Diceros bicornis minor: one gene and its partner. The protein of the gene in region 2 purifies or fractionates together with the protein of the main gene of each other region. This does not show direct contact. Links are inferred from orthologs where the notes say so. Each region holds a gene or a part of one and is shown on either strand. Other genes may lie near its edges.

Region 1 (7,899 bases), on a different chromosome or scaffold from region 2:
TAAACTTGACAAGCAAGTCCAAGAAAGGCCAGTGGGAATGATTCAGAAACAAAATCTCTGTTGCTCATCACACTTTCACCAAGTGTAAAATGGTGAAATCCCCACCAAACCAAAAACAAAAACATTAGCAACAAAAAAAGTTTGATTGTATTCCTACTATAGAACAAGTTTCTTTTTATACTTTTATTCCACATGATTAATGTAATTTATATCTAACATGAATGTTTATTTTCAGCACATCTTGTATTATGGCCACAGCCAGCTGAGGATATAGAAAACAAGTTCATCTGGGTTCCCAAATAGTTTGGTTTCTTACATGCTTTGGGGGAAAGAGAAGATTGTAACAAACAAGAAATAACGTGGAGTAAAAATGGAGGTTACTCTGGATTAGAAACATGAAACCTGGCTTCTAGTACCTACCTAGTTCTCTACAAACCAACGGGATGACTGAGGATGTCATTGTCATTTAACCTCTTATAACATTATTAATCTACTGTAAAGTTGGAGGGGGAGGTGGGGAAGAGACTGCTTTTGGACCAGATGATTTCTCAAGTTGCTGAAAATTTTTCAGCAGATTTATCAATGGCTCAAATTCTACATATACAATACTTTATAGTGAAGGTTTGTTCCATTTATTAACCACACTCTTTGTGAGAAGGAAAAAAAGCTCCATTAGAAAATAATTCAAACATGAAGAAAACGAGCAAAGTGTATTAAATGATAAAATGAAGGCAATTGTCTTTACCTATGAGGAAAAGGGGGACTACAATATTACTCTTCTACAAAGTTAGAAGGCCAAATGATACAGGGGGAAAGAATTGTGAATCAGGAGATTGTGGTTCCAGTCCTAAGTCCATCTCTAACTTTTTAATCTTGTACAAATCCCAAAATCTGTGATCACATCTTCTGTAAAATGGTATTAATCGGCTCTACGGGGGTCTGTGTGAGAATCAGAAGAGATAATATACTTAAAAGCATTTTGAAAAGTTGTGCAAATCTAAGATATTAGCATTAGCATCAGGAATTATCTCTAGGATGCTGTTCATATTTCACGGTTTTAAACTAACTGGTTCTGGAAAAGTTATTTTTTAACCATGAAAAAAATGAATACAGAACATGTCAGAGAATTATATAACAAACACCTATGTACCCTTCACCTAGAATTAAATGTAAATGGTTTGATCAAATCATCAAGTTGTACACCTTAAATATACACAATGTTTATTTGTCAATTATACCCTGATAAAGCTGGGAAAAAAGAAAAAAATGTAAATAGTTTGTCATATTTACTTCAGATTTTTTTAAAGATATAAAACATTGCAATTACAGATAAAGTCCTCTTTAGTGCTGTCTGACTCATTCCATACTAGCCCCTAATGAATTTTGTGTATATCATTCCAGTCCATATTTTTATACTTTACCATAAAAATGTATATCCATGAAGAACAAAGTATTGGTTTATTTTTAAAAGTTAAATACATTGTAAAATTCATATCATATTTTACTCATTCTGAAACTTCATTCACTTTTGTTTTTATAGTTTAACCATATTGATGCCTAGAGCTCTAGTTTAAGTGCTGAATACTAATCCATCTATGAATATATGACAATTTATTTATCCACTAAAAAGTATTATTTAGCCAGAAAGGTTTACTAGGTTATAAAATAAAAACATAGGAAAATGTTTAGATACAGAAAGAACCTTGGAGATCATCTGGTGCAGGGTTTCCTAAGCTATAGTTCGTAGACCCTCTTCCACGAATGAGCTTTAGGAGGTCTAAGAAATTTGAGTGTCTTTGGGATGAGCATTTTCTGCAGAGAGGGCCAAAGCTTTGACCATATTCTCCAAGAGATACACATACTAAATAGTTACTTGTCCTAAGAGAGTTGAGAACCTATGGTGTAGTTCCACTCTCTCATTTGACATATAAAAAGACTGAGGTCCAGAGAGGTTAAATAATTTATGCAAAATCATAGGGATAATAGGGCCTGTTTGTGGAACCAGGTCTATGTATATTGCTTTTCCAGAATACTACATTGCTGGGATTTTGTGCTTGCTTGTTTGTTGCTTTCTTAAACAATATAATATGAGTTAAGTTCATTTCAACTTTTAGTCGATAAAGTTCAATCCAAGTTTCTTTTAATTATTGTCCACTGCTGGCAAGGAGGTGGTAAAATTGGTACACCCCTATTTTACTGGTGGCATTGTAAATTGGTATGGTCTTTTGGAAAATAATTTGAGATGATGAAGTGCCAATGAAACATTCATAGCCTTCTGGCTCAATCATTTTTAAAGATTTTGTTTATTTATTTTTCTCCCCTTAAAGCCCCAGTAGATAGTTGTATGTCATAGCTGCACATCCTTCTAGTTGCGGTATGTGGGACGCGGCCTCAGCCTGGCCGGAGAAGCGGTGCGTCAGTGCACGCCCGGGATCCGAACCCGGGCCGCCAGCAGCGGAGCGTGCGCACTTAACCGCTAAGCCACAGGGCTGGCCCTCAATCATTTTTATATAGAGAAAAATTTCCTAATATTGGACAAAGCTACATGCACAAAATGTTCATCAAAGTGTTATTTGTAATAGTGGAAAATATCCACTAATAGGATAATGGATAAATCACAGTATGTCCATTCCATTGACTACTATGTAGGCAATTAAAATTAAGGTTTTATAAAATGTTAAGTGATAGAAGGAAATGGTTACAACATAATATTAAATGAAAAAAGGGATACAAAATCAACTTACATTATGATTACAACTTTGTAAAAAGTCTGCACAGAGAAAAAACTAGAAGTAAATACAACAGATTATAACTAGTCATTTATTTTTTTTCTTTTCTTGATGCAAAATCTTAGGTAATGTAGTGATGGTCATAATTTTTAAAAAGTAAACAAAAGCAATACTATCCTTGAATCCAAATGCAATAAATTTTAATAAGTATATTTCCCACAGATTCATCACCTTAAAAATATTCAAAGATAAAAACTTTCATTTGGTAATACAATTTTGTAGGCATTGGAATGTGGTCTTCAGAATTATGTGTGAAATTACCAATTACAAGTTGGTTGATTGCACTCACAAGTCATCTGGCCAAATAGCTACTCAATTTCCAGGCACAAAGTTGGATGCTGATTTCTGAATTGTTCTTAAGTGAATAGAATTGGCTTCTGCTTTTACCTGACAAAAATCACGTTATGTATGAAATCAGGAAGAAATTTTTCCAAAAGCAGGGTTCTTTTCAATGTTTTGATGTTTACATTCATTATTTCAGTTTAAACCTTTTCTTAGTGTAGGGTCTGCTTTAGGATTTTGACATGTGTTCTTACTCCGATATTTCTGTTTAGTAGAGCTATCAAATTAAAACAAGCATGTATTCATCTAAATTCAATTCATTTCCAGTTTCTCCGCACACACACACAAATATTTTTGTTTCTTTCCTTCCTGGTCAATAAACATTTACAGTGACATATATATATATTAAAGCTTGCACGCGGGCTAAACCAGCAGGGGGCGAAATACAATAAGAGTAAATTTGACAAGCCGTATAGATTTTTCCCGCTTTAGCGACCGAGCAATAACAAAAAATTCAGCACCACCACAAAGCAATAGGTACTCCAATTTAAAGTGATGCAGTCTCCGTATATCTTACAGCGATCGAGTTGTAAAGAGACTAATGCGGGTCTATTTTAGTGCTCCAAGTTAATTTGTCGAGACCATTGCAGAGGCGGGATAAACCGTGATGAACTGCTTTTGTCCTTATCTTTCCCCTGATTCGTTTAATTCCTCCACTCAAAGGGGTGGACACTTCTTTGTGGCTGAGGGGGTGTTTTTCATCCAGGTTTCTTTGCGTAGCTGCTGAGCTTTGCTGTTTGGGAACTATTTTAAAATATTCAAATTACCGGTGCGGGTTTGGTAAAAGTGAGCAGAAGCAGCACCCGTCAGGGCTCATGATTTATAGGGTAGGACTTATCATCCCGGATGATAACAATAATCCTTGTAGACTAATTTTTACAGTGGCCGGTGTTCTAACAGATATTCATGATAAAGGATGCGGAAAGCTTATAAAAACGCAAACGATCAACTGCTCAGGACTGATGATAGAAAAAGAATGTTAGGAACTCTTAGAGAAATGCAGAAGTTGACTTGATTTCTTTTCACTGGCTCTTCTCCCGCAGCATCTATGAAACACGACCACTGTCTCCATCCGTTAGCAAAATCCCCAATTACTATTATTTTTTAATTTTTTTGTTAGCCTCGAAGACGATTTGTCAGTTCGGCGGCTGTTTGCCCTCTTGCTTCCCATCTTAAGTTTGATTTATAATAACCTCTTCTTTGTTATTTGTTAAATATCAGTTTCCCCTTCTGTCAGCTTAAATTAAAAAGAGAAACGGACTTAAAAGACTGTGAATGAAAAAGTCCTTTTTCGGGGCGAAAAGGGCAAGCTGCTAACTGTTCTCCAGTAGGTTTTGGTGGAGAAGATATGGTTCTGTATTTCAAAACCTTTGCAATTTTATTTGGAGACCAAGGGACCTCTCGGTCCCAAGCTGAACGTTAACGTTAACCGACTGAGGAGCACCTGCCCTCGCAGGGAGCGCCGCCTCACCGGGCGACGAAGTGCCTAAGGACGTCTTTCCCTCCCACAGCTCCATGACTGGCAAGGAAGTAAAGGAAAAGGACAGCTTGCCCGCACCCAAAATGGCGGCCGGCGCTCTGCGCGACAGCGCCTGCGCAGGGGTAAGCGTTCTGTGACACTAATTCCCCTGGAGTGTCCTCCCCCCACCCCCCAGCACCCAGCAGCGCCCGGCCCCGACCTACCCACCTGCGCCCGGAAGTGACGTGTCGGCGGCAGCGGTCCCCCGCTGCATGATGGGAGAGTGTGTGGAGTGGGCGGGGGGTCTCCGCGGAGGAGGATGTGGAGGCGGCGGAAGAGGGCGGAGGGTAATGGAACGGGGGTCCCGCGGCAGCGCTGAAACTCCGGGTGGGCGTCCATGGTGCTGCTTCGCTGACAGGGCTGTGAGCAGCCTGCCTTCCGCTCTCACCAGCTCCGCGTCGGACTAGCCGGTCCTTCCCCGGGGAGCCAGTTCCTCCCCGGGCCCCTGAGCCATGCCCATCGCTGCCGCCCCGGACGAGCCAGGTGAGCGCCACCGCTCCGCTCCCCAAGCCGCGCCGGGGGAAGAGGGTACAGGGACCCGGCGCGGCCCACCGGCTGGACGCTCGCCCGGGCTGGGGGCACCTGCCAGCTGCGGAGAGGGGGCTTTGAGGACGGTGCCGGCTCTGCGGGCCTGCGGGCTGCGAGTTGGGCTCTGCCCTCTTCCGCGGCGGGTGCGGGGACGCCGGCGGCGGCGGCGCTCGGCCCCCTCCTCGCCATCCCGGGCACCGGCCGGGAAGTGTGAGCCGTTCCCACCTCCCCGGTCGCCGCCGGCTCGCCCTGCCCCTCCGCTTCCACCTGCCTACAGGTCCGCGCCGGCCGCTCCCTCCCGGGAGCTGTTGAGAAGTTTGGGGCTTTGCTCGGGCTTCCTGTTTCTTCCTCCTCCTCCCTCGTGACAGGTGTAAACACTGCCTGCTTCGCCCAGGCCCGAGGCCGGCCGCTATCGGAGTGTGCTGCTTCCGAGGGTCTCTGAAGCAAGCGGATTTTTAATGCTCCAGGCAGGCAGAGGAGACAGCCCGAAAGCTCATGCATCTCTTGCTGAGAGGACCTTTTCTGCTCCGTTCTTGCACTCCTCAAGAAATAATCTGCGTCTCCTCCCCAGATTGTCTTCGAAAAGTTGGACCATTATTCTTTAAGCGCCCAGTTTGGCAGGTCTGCGTCTTGCTTGGGCAGGGGACAGAGTATAGGGTGAACGGTGGTGGGTCCTTTCTCCATTATTAGGAAAGTACTGAGAATGGCTAGGTATTTCTCTTGTTGGTTAATACAAGTTATAGCTTGGTTTCCCACTGAATCTTCTATTGGGGTCGAGGAAAGGACTAACTCATACACGTAAATATTTTACTAGGGGCAGGAGGTGGGTGTAAATGAAACAAAAGCAGTGGTTTCGTTTCAAAGTTCTCACTTGAGGAGAAGAAAAGTAAAACTTTACTTTTGAACGTTAATCGTCCTTTTCACTGGCTACGTTCTCGTACTCAGAGTTTTTGTTTTTTTGGAGGGTGGGAGGGGGAGAGAGTTTAATCCTTGATGTTATGTTTAATTGTTGCTTTCAGTTAACCTTTTAGACGTAGAAATATATGCTAAACTCTAGGGGAAGCAAATGTTTCAACACTGTTGTGTTGATATAATTTGCATAGCTCATCTACATTTTATATGCTTTGCCGGCTTAAATGTTGGTTTTTGTAGTAGTCATTTTTAACTCTTTGCAGAAATATATGTGTTTAAACAAAATATCTATGGTAGTCTTCTAAATTTTGTCCATGAAGATATCTCACATGAATTAAAAGACAGATCCTGTGTAAAACATCAAGCCCGGTAAGTGGCACCTAGTAAATGCTCCTTAGATCGAATTCCTGTTTTATGTATCAATCAGATATATTAATTGATCGTCAGAGCGTAGATATATTTTTAAATCTTTAAAAAACTCTGGAAAGAAATTTACTAGAATTCACGTAATATGTAGGGCATTTAAGTTTTGATGTTTTCTGATCTTTTGACCTAGAGACTATTATAAAAATAACCCAATATTAAAACAAAGATAATGTGTGGATAATTGCATCGATAAATTTTGCAGAATCCAGTTGTCTTTATGAAAATCTTATGATGTAGATGAATCCTATTATAAAACATCATTTTAAATTTTGATTTGTTCTGCTTATATGTAAAAACTTGTTCAGAAAAGTAGTGAAATTTGAATATCAAGTAATGTTTTATTTTGTGTGGAATCTAAAATGCCTCTCTTAACAGTCTAAATAGTATGTCATTGAGGGATTACCCCTTCTCTCCCAGCCCTATCCCCCAGAGCTCATAAAAGGAGGCCATTAAGTATTTAGGTATTTTTAAACAGTCGAAAATTATTTAAGTCAAATGTTTATATTCTAATTTAATGTTACCTACAATTCGTAAGTTTAAAAATAGACTTTCCTCTATGCTTAGAACTTTCAGTTCCTCTTCAAGTAAGCTAGTGATCCTTTCCAGCCTGAACTTCATAAATATTTCTAGTTTTTCTGCAATTTTGAAAATATCTGGCATTTATATGAATTATATATATATATATATAACATTTTGGTAATTAATGTTTTCTCAATCAGTGTACACAAACAAACACATGTCCTTCTGCAGCTTTATATGATAATTACTAACAGTAATGTACACTACTTCCTGTGAGCAAGATACTGTTCTAAGTGGTTTATATACAGCATATTAACTCATTTAATCCTCACAACAACCCTATAAGCTAATAGTTGGTATTATCCCCATTTTTCCTAGGGAAAACTGAGGCACGGAGATATTAACATCAAACAGCCTAACATCAAACAGCTTGTGACAGAGCCAGAATATATGATAGTTTTATTTATCATACTTATATAATTTTAAAAACATGCCACACTATACAATATATTTTCTGGGAATCGTGGAATATGTAGCAAAAGTATAAAAACATGCATTGGAATGATAAACACCAAATCAGAGTAGAAGTTACCTCTGGAGAACTGGAGAGGGGTAAAGGATCTAGGAAGGCCCATGGTTTTTCAACCATAACTTTACTGTCTTTAAAATAAACATGAAGCAGATTTGGTAAAAGATTAAGATTTGACACAGCCAAGTGGTGGGTACTTGATCATTATATATTTTTTTTCTAAACTTTGTTGTATGCTTAAATCTTAATAAAAAGTTCAAGTTTTTCATTTAAAAACATATGTAAAGTATCACTCTGTGTTTCGCCATTGTATATTTAAAAAGAGGTCAGGGAAT
Region 2 (7,321 bases):
AGCCTGCCAGTGCCAATGGTGCACGTCTCTTTTCAACTCTGTGTCCAGTGACATCCCACAGGTCACTTAAAATCAGTCATGGAGGGAGTGTTGGCACCACAGAAATCTGCAAAAACTACAAATCAGAGTTATTTTTACCCCAGAGAGCCAGTTTAGCATACACCACGGGTTACAAGTAATCTACAAGTAATATATAATAAGCATGCCACTTGCTAATTACACTCTCACCTGCATTTGATGTGACATAGCGCCTGAGAAGCAAGGGCCTTGGAGAGCCACGCGGCTGCTACACTTACGTGGTAGTGACAACAGGACTGTGGGGTAGGGGAGCTGGGTCTGAGTTCACCGGAGCTATTACGGAAAGAAAATGACACGCTCTTTAATCTCTCAGTTTAAGTCACAGTCAGAAAACCAGAGAGATTCTATGGAGCCCTACAATAATCCTTTATTTCTTATAGCTGTAGGTTTTTGACCTTGCTGAAAATCATACCCAAAATTTAATTGGGCAGGTTGCAGAATTACAACATAAATGGAATTCAGAGATTTGCCAGAATCTCAAGCAGTACATTGGATGTCTACCTTGTCTGGCTGAGAGATGGTCAGAAGCACAGGTGTACGCTGACTCGTGGGCAGTGGGTGGCAGGAACAGACACAGCAGAACTGGATTTGGCGAGAAGGAGGTGTGGGGAGGAGGTATGTGGAGCCTCTCAGGATGGCACAGTGTGAAGACACTGGTGTCCTGTGTCGATGCCCACCCAAGGGCATCCACTGCAGCAGTGACTCTGAGAATCAAGTGGACAAGGTGACACATTCTCTGGATGTCAGTCTTTATTCCCAGCTGTGTCATTGTTTGCTCTTTGGGTTTATTTACAAAGTGGCCATCGCGGCAGGTGTGAAGGTTCGACATGGGCCCAAGAACACGGACTTCCCCTCATCAAGCTGACCTGGTCACTGCCACTGCTAAGTGCCTAAAGTGACAACAGTGGAGACCAACACTAAAACCCTAATATGGCCCCATTCCCTGGATGGAGGATGGGCCTGAAACCAATGTTAGAAACCTGCCAGTGCGACCACTCAGGTATGCAAAAGAACCAAACAGAACTTATAGACTTAAAAAAAATAACTGAAATGAAAAACTCCTAAAACAGGTTTATCAGCAGCCTAAGGGACAATTAGTGACTGGAAGAGAGGTTTGAAGAAATATCCAGAATATAGGACATAAACACCAGAGGTTAAGCTGTGACAGAGAAGTAAAGAAATATGGAGAATATTAAGAGAGAGTCTTTGTTTTACAGACTTCTCTATCTCCCTGTTTCTTTCTTTCTTTACCACAGCCCACAGTAATCAATGCATTTGTGACTCACTACATAGATATACCTATAGGTATGTTGATAAATATAACTGAAACAAAAGTTTCATGAAATAATACAATACACTGTGATATTTTCTATTCATTTTCTTTTTCAGTGCTGGTAACAACCCATTAAATTGACTTGATAAGTCACTCTTGAGAAACAATGTACAGTTTGAAAAACATTGGTTGAATAAACTACTAGTCAGACTTCCAGAAGAAAAGAGTGAGAGGATAAGGCTCAGGTAACATTTAAAAGAGATATCGTCACACATGCTCCAACGTGGATGAACCTTGAAAACATTATGCTCAGTGAAATAAGTCAGATACAAAAGGACAAATACTGTATGATTCTACTTATATGAGGTCCCTAGAACAGTCAGATTCATGGAGACAGAAAGTAGCATGGCGGTTACCAGGGTCTGGCGGGTAGGGGAGTGGGGAGTTAGTGTTTATTGGGTACAGAGTTTCAGTTTTGCAAGATAAAGAGTTCTGGAGATGGATGGCGGTGATGGTTGCACAACAATGTGAATGTATTCAATATCACTGAACTGTCCAATTAAAATGATTAAGATAGTAAATTATATGTTATGTGTATTTTACCACGATTTAAAAAATTTTTTTTAATGTTGTCTAAGGATTTTCCAGAATGATGAAAGATACCAATCAACAAATTCAGAAACCCCCGAGAATTCAGGTAGGATGAATGCTGTACACTGAATGTTTGTATCTTCCCCAAAATTCACATGTCGAGACCGGCTCCACCCTAATGAATGCGATTCATGCCCTTGTCACAGAGACCCCAGAGAGCAAGGGAACGCTAACTATGAACCAGGAAGCAGACTCTTGACAGACGTGAAATCTTCCCAGCCTCCAGAACTGTGAGAAATAAATGTCTGTTGTTATTTAAGCCACCCAGCCTATGGTATTTTGTTATAGCAGCCTGAACAGACTAAGATAATAAATAAAAAGATACATCGTGGTAAAACTCAGAACCTCAGAACAGGGGGAAAAACAGATTCTCTTGGAAGGAATGATGAAGAGATTGTTGTCAGAAACCTCAACAGTAACAACGGGAGCGGGAAGCAGGTGGGTGGTAACTGTCACTCTGGAAAACCCGCCAAAATATCTTTCAAGAACAAGGGCAAAATAAAGTGATTTTCAGATGAACAAAAAGCAAGAGAGTTTGCCCCAACAAACCCTCATCAAAATAGGATTTAAAGGATGTACAGGATGGGCCGGCCCCATGGCTTAGCGGTTAAGTGCACGCGCTCCGCTGCTGGCGGGCCGTTTCAGATCCTGGGCGCGCACCGACGCACTGCTTCTCCGGCCTCAGCGTCCCACATACAGCAACTAGAAGGACATGCAGCTATGACATACAACTATCTACTGGGGCTTTGGGGGAAAAAAATAAATAAATAACATTATAAAAAAATAAAACAAAGGATGTACAGTCACAAGGAAAGTGATCCTAGTTGTAAGTTTGAGATGCAAGAAGATGCGCAAAGAAATCAGTAACTGTGTGGTTGAGTGTAAACTAACATCAACTGCATAAAACAAGCTAGTAATGACTCATGGGGTGAAAAGGGAAAGATTAAATTTAGAACACACTACAATTAAGGCATATAATTTAGGGGATGAGTGACTAAAGTATCCAAAGGTACTTATATTTTAAGGGAGCAAGGTAAAGATATTTAAAAGATTGGACTTTCATAAGATAAGTACTCATGCCAAATTTCTAGGGTAATCACTAAAACAACAGAAATAGATGGTGTAAGAGGAAGAAAAATGGAATGAGAAAAAAAATCAGCACTAAAGAAGCAAGAAAGGAGAGGAAAAAGAAAAAACAGGCAGGACAAATAGAAAGCACAAAATAATATGGTAGAAATAAATCCAGATACAGTGTTTATCAGTAAATATAATAAGCGTAAATGGACCAAATGCTCTAGTTAAAAGACAAAGATTATCTTGAAAAAAACCTTTTTTATTATGAAAAATTTCAAGTACGCAGAAAAGTGGGAAGAATAGTACAAAGGATGCCCATGTAGAGTCAGCATTGTTAACTATTTGCTGTGTTTGTTTCATCTATATATATGTAAAGAAGACTGTTAAGAACACATATTTTATGTAGTAAACATATACTGAAATAAAATTTAAACGGCAACAGTGATGTAGTGTTCACTTTTGAGGCCAAGTAGATCTGGGTTCCCAGCAATTTTTAATCGCCTAATTTATTTGTGGGGTTATTTATTCCAAGGTTGTCTCTCCAACAGAATCTAGCGAGAGAGTAGGAACCAGGTCAACTTTTCTGCTTATTGTATTTCTAAATATTTGTTGCATCTACTTGTTATATAGTAAACATGTAATGCAGAGTAGCTCTTATTTATCACAGTTGCCACTGTTGTTATTGAAAGCGTTCAGCAGAGCGGCACAAAACAAGCAAGCAATAATCGGTAGCTTACTGTTTATATTTATTGTTTCCCATACATCACAGTGCCCGGCACACATCATTCACCCACCAACATTATGTTCATAGTGAGAATAAATAGTACTTTCATTATTATTCAAAGTCTCTAACAGTGCCTGGCACTACATAAGGAAAGAAAAGTGCAGTCTACTCTTCTCATTGCTACTGAGTAAAGCATTTCACACCACGGCCGTCCCCCTTAGGCCCAGAATAAGCAATCTTCGCGGTGATTTCTGGGCGTGCCGGACCCGCCCCGCCCCCGGAGCTTGCGACGCCCCGCCCCCTGCCGCCCGGCAGCCCCGCCCCCGCGGCCAGTGCCGCGCCTGCGCACTGCGCTCGGAGGGGCGACGCGCGCGCAGGGCCGAGTCGGCCGGCCTGCTGCGTGCGTGCGTGCGTCGCTGCGTGCGTGCCGTGCGTGCCGTGCGCTCGCCGGGCACCGCGGCCTCGCCTTCGCCCTCCGCCCCGGCGCCTGCACCGCGTAGGCCACCCCCCCCCCCCCCGCGCGCACCCGTCGGCGACCCCCGCCTGCGCCCCGGCCGGCCCCCCCCTCGAAATTTAAAGGGGGCGCAGCCTTCGCGCCGCCCGCCGCAGGTGACCTCCCGGGGGTCTCCCGCCAGAGGTGCCCCGCCGCCGAGGAACATGGCGAAGGTGGAGCAGGTCCTGAGCCTCGAGCCGCAGCACGAGCTCAAATTCCGAGGTAAGCCGCAGGCCCGCCATCTTCGGCCGCGGCCGGGCCGCCGCCCCGCGCCCCCGCCCGCGCTCCGGGGACCGGCCGCGCGGTGACGTCGGCCCCCGCCCGCCCCGACGGCGCGCCCGCCCGCCCCGGGCCGCGGAGCGCTGCTGGGCCCGAGCCCGGCGCGGGCCCGCCCTCCTGCCCGCCTCGCCCTCGAGACACTCGGCGCCTCGGCCGTGCTGACCGCGGCCGTCCAGGCTGCGGTTTTCCGCGCCTGAGTGGAAGCGTGGGCGCCCCCTTTGCCTGGAAGCTTCTTCCCTGCTCTCCACGAGGTGACCTTTTCCTGTCTTGGGTCAGATGTCACCTCCTCGGAGAGGCCTGCCCTGACCAGCCACCCACCCTGGACGCCTGCGTCCATCCCCTGTCACGTCGCCGGGCGGTGGCCAGCACGGCGCTCCCTTGCCTCTGCCACGTGTGCACTGTTTCTGCGCTAGAAGGGAAACTCCATGAGGGCAGGACCCCGTCCTTTCTCTGCTGCCTGCCCAGCACGTGTTCCGGGCCGAGTTTCTGTTGAACAGATGAAGGAAAGGAGCCTCCGCTGGAGTTGTGATGGGACGTGGCCCGACTGCCTTCTGCCTTCCTCATGCCCCTCGCTCACGTCTGTGCCGCTGGGGGCGCTGCCAGGGTCGGGAGATGCCTTTTCTCCCCAGAGCAACCTGGACCTGGAGCCAGAGGAAGCCTAGTGCACCACTGTGTTGGTGGCAAGCCAGGGCCCTTTGTAATGTGTACCTTCATGTTTCTTATGGGTTTTTTCTTCCCTGTCTTCCCCCCCACAATATAAGCTCATGAGACAATAGGGACGTCGTCTGACTTGATTCCTTCTTTTCAGATGTGTTGAGTAACTGCGTAGTAGTCATGTGCTTGGCACTGGAGAGACAAGGAATGAACCAGAGAGACGAGTCCCCTGCTCTCATGGCGCTTACCTTCTAACAGGGGAAAGAAACCAGCAAACAACAATATTTCAGATGGTGGTCAGTGCCGAACAGGAAAGAAAACAGGCTGATGTGATGCCATTAGACCCGAGGTTGTGTGGCCAGCACTGGGCCCACAGTAGGTGCTCAGCAGATATTGGTGGAATGAATGCTGGCTACAAGTAACCCGGTTTAGGTGTACTGTCAGGACGTGATATCGGGTAACTTACCCAGAGTTGCCCAGTTGGCAGATGGCACATTTGAGCTCAGACTTCAGAGCTAACCCTCTTAACAATTATGTTTTCTGACCCCTGGGAAATACTCCAGAACTGTGGCTGTCCAGAGCTTTGCCTCCCAGGTTAACAATCTGAAATGACCCCAGATGCGTAAAGAACCAAAGGTTCTCCAGTTAAAATAAAGCAAAAACAGAAAAGCATCATAAAAGCCTGGTGTGAATTATAATTCCATGACAGTCCTTGAGCTTGCGTGATGTTCTCGTGCCCTCATGGAGGAGGCAGGCTGGCAAGGGAGTCCAAGGAGCTAAAGGGAATGTGGAGGGTGATGGTTTCCACTTGAGTCGTCTGAAGTTCTTTACCCCAGGAGCCTGGCGTGGCTACTCCTGGGATTGGATTGGCACAGTCATTCTTTTAGGCCACAGGCATTTACTGAGTGCGTGCTGCATGTGTCGGGTACCAGGAGCAGATGAGTCACGTCCTATGTATGCCCCCATTCTCCCTCAACCCCCTACCCCAGAACTTAAGTCTAGGGAAGGAGGCAGATGACAGAATCAGCGAGGGCGGCGCAATGATATAAGGTGATCCAGAGTGCTCCGAGAGCACTAAGGAGGTCAGCTCTTGAAAGAGGTGTCATTTGAGCTGAGTTTAAAGGTCGAATGGAAGCAGGCTAAAAGAAGAAATGAGTGGGGAGCATGACAGGCAGAGGAAATTGCACCTACAGAGGCACAAAGGCTGAGCTGACTGGGGTACTTTGAGATGCCGCTAGTAGTTCTGAATGACAGCTGCAAAGAGCCTTTCTTGGTTGCCAGGCAAAGTAGGAGATGAGGCTGGCCAGTAGACAGGAGTCAGATCTTCTAAGGCCTTCTTCTGTGAACAGACGCAGCCAGTGTCCAAGTGCAAGTTGTGTTGCTTCTCCTCAGCTAGTCCTTCCTTGATTGATCCCCTGCAACCTCAACCCCCCACCCCCAGTATACACACTCTTCTCTAATGTGATATTATGGAAAGAGGCACCAATTTGAGAAATTGAAGTTTTTGTTCCAGATCTTTCGCTTAAAGATGTTTGACCACTTCACTCTCCAAAGCCTGGGATCACTCATCAGTCCGTGGGGATGGCACTCATCTGCCTGGCCTCCTTGCCTTGTAGAAGGTTTTGTTACTGCTTGGAAGGTGTAATATTGTGTCTGTTCAGCTGCTTTGTAAATGCACACGGTTACACAGAGATTGGTGGTTGTATTTAGATAACTGATTTCATCAGTTCGACTTCTTTACCTGAAAGGTGCGGAAGAGAAGAGTGATCTGCCTGGGTTGGCCAGTGTAATGATGGGCGAAGTCACTGGATATTTTTGCTAGGGAAGTGGTCCAAGAGAAGTCATGGTGTCAAATTGTTGAAGGCTGTTGGCTCATGACTTCAAAAGAGGCATATTCAGGCATGTGTAAACCACTTTATGAGATTTGTTTTAAACTGAGCACTAAGACAATGAAATTAGAATGGAGGCTCAATACCCTGGCTTGCTGTATAGAGATCATTCATTTCAGGATCCGAACTGGCATATTTAACTGGTCTCTTCCAAGTTGCTCAGGGTGGTGACTCTGACTTGGAGTGGTTCACTTAGATGAATAAAC

Evidence for each region. The genes of interacting proteins can lie anywhere in the genome.
Region 1: the proteins of VAPB (region 2) and AFTPH purify together in Homo sapiens (affinity purification with mass spectrometry; 3 studies listed by BioGRID and IntAct, counting the BioPlex papers as one, with this or other methods). This does not show direct contact. The link is inferred for Diceros bicornis minor from reciprocal best matches to the Homo sapiens genes VAPB and AFTPH.

The regions. Positions count from the first base shown.
Region 1 is NC_080751.1:23,171,829-23,179,727, reverse strand, and holds the start of AFTPH (aftiphilin), read left to right. Parts: upstream 1-4,885; 5' UTR 4,886-5,133; intron 5,134-7,899. UniProt on the Homo sapiens protein: Component of clathrin-coated vesicles.
Region 2 is NC_080758.1:5,266,725-5,274,045, reverse strand, and holds the start of VAPB (vesicle-associated membrane protein-associated protein B/C), read left to right. Parts: upstream 1-4,310; 5' UTR 4,311-4,457; coding exon 4,458-4,515; intron 4,516-7,321. UniProt on the Homo sapiens protein: Endoplasmic reticulum (ER)-anchored protein that mediates the formation of contact sites between the ER and endosomes via interaction with FFAT motif-containing proteins such as STARD3 or WDR44.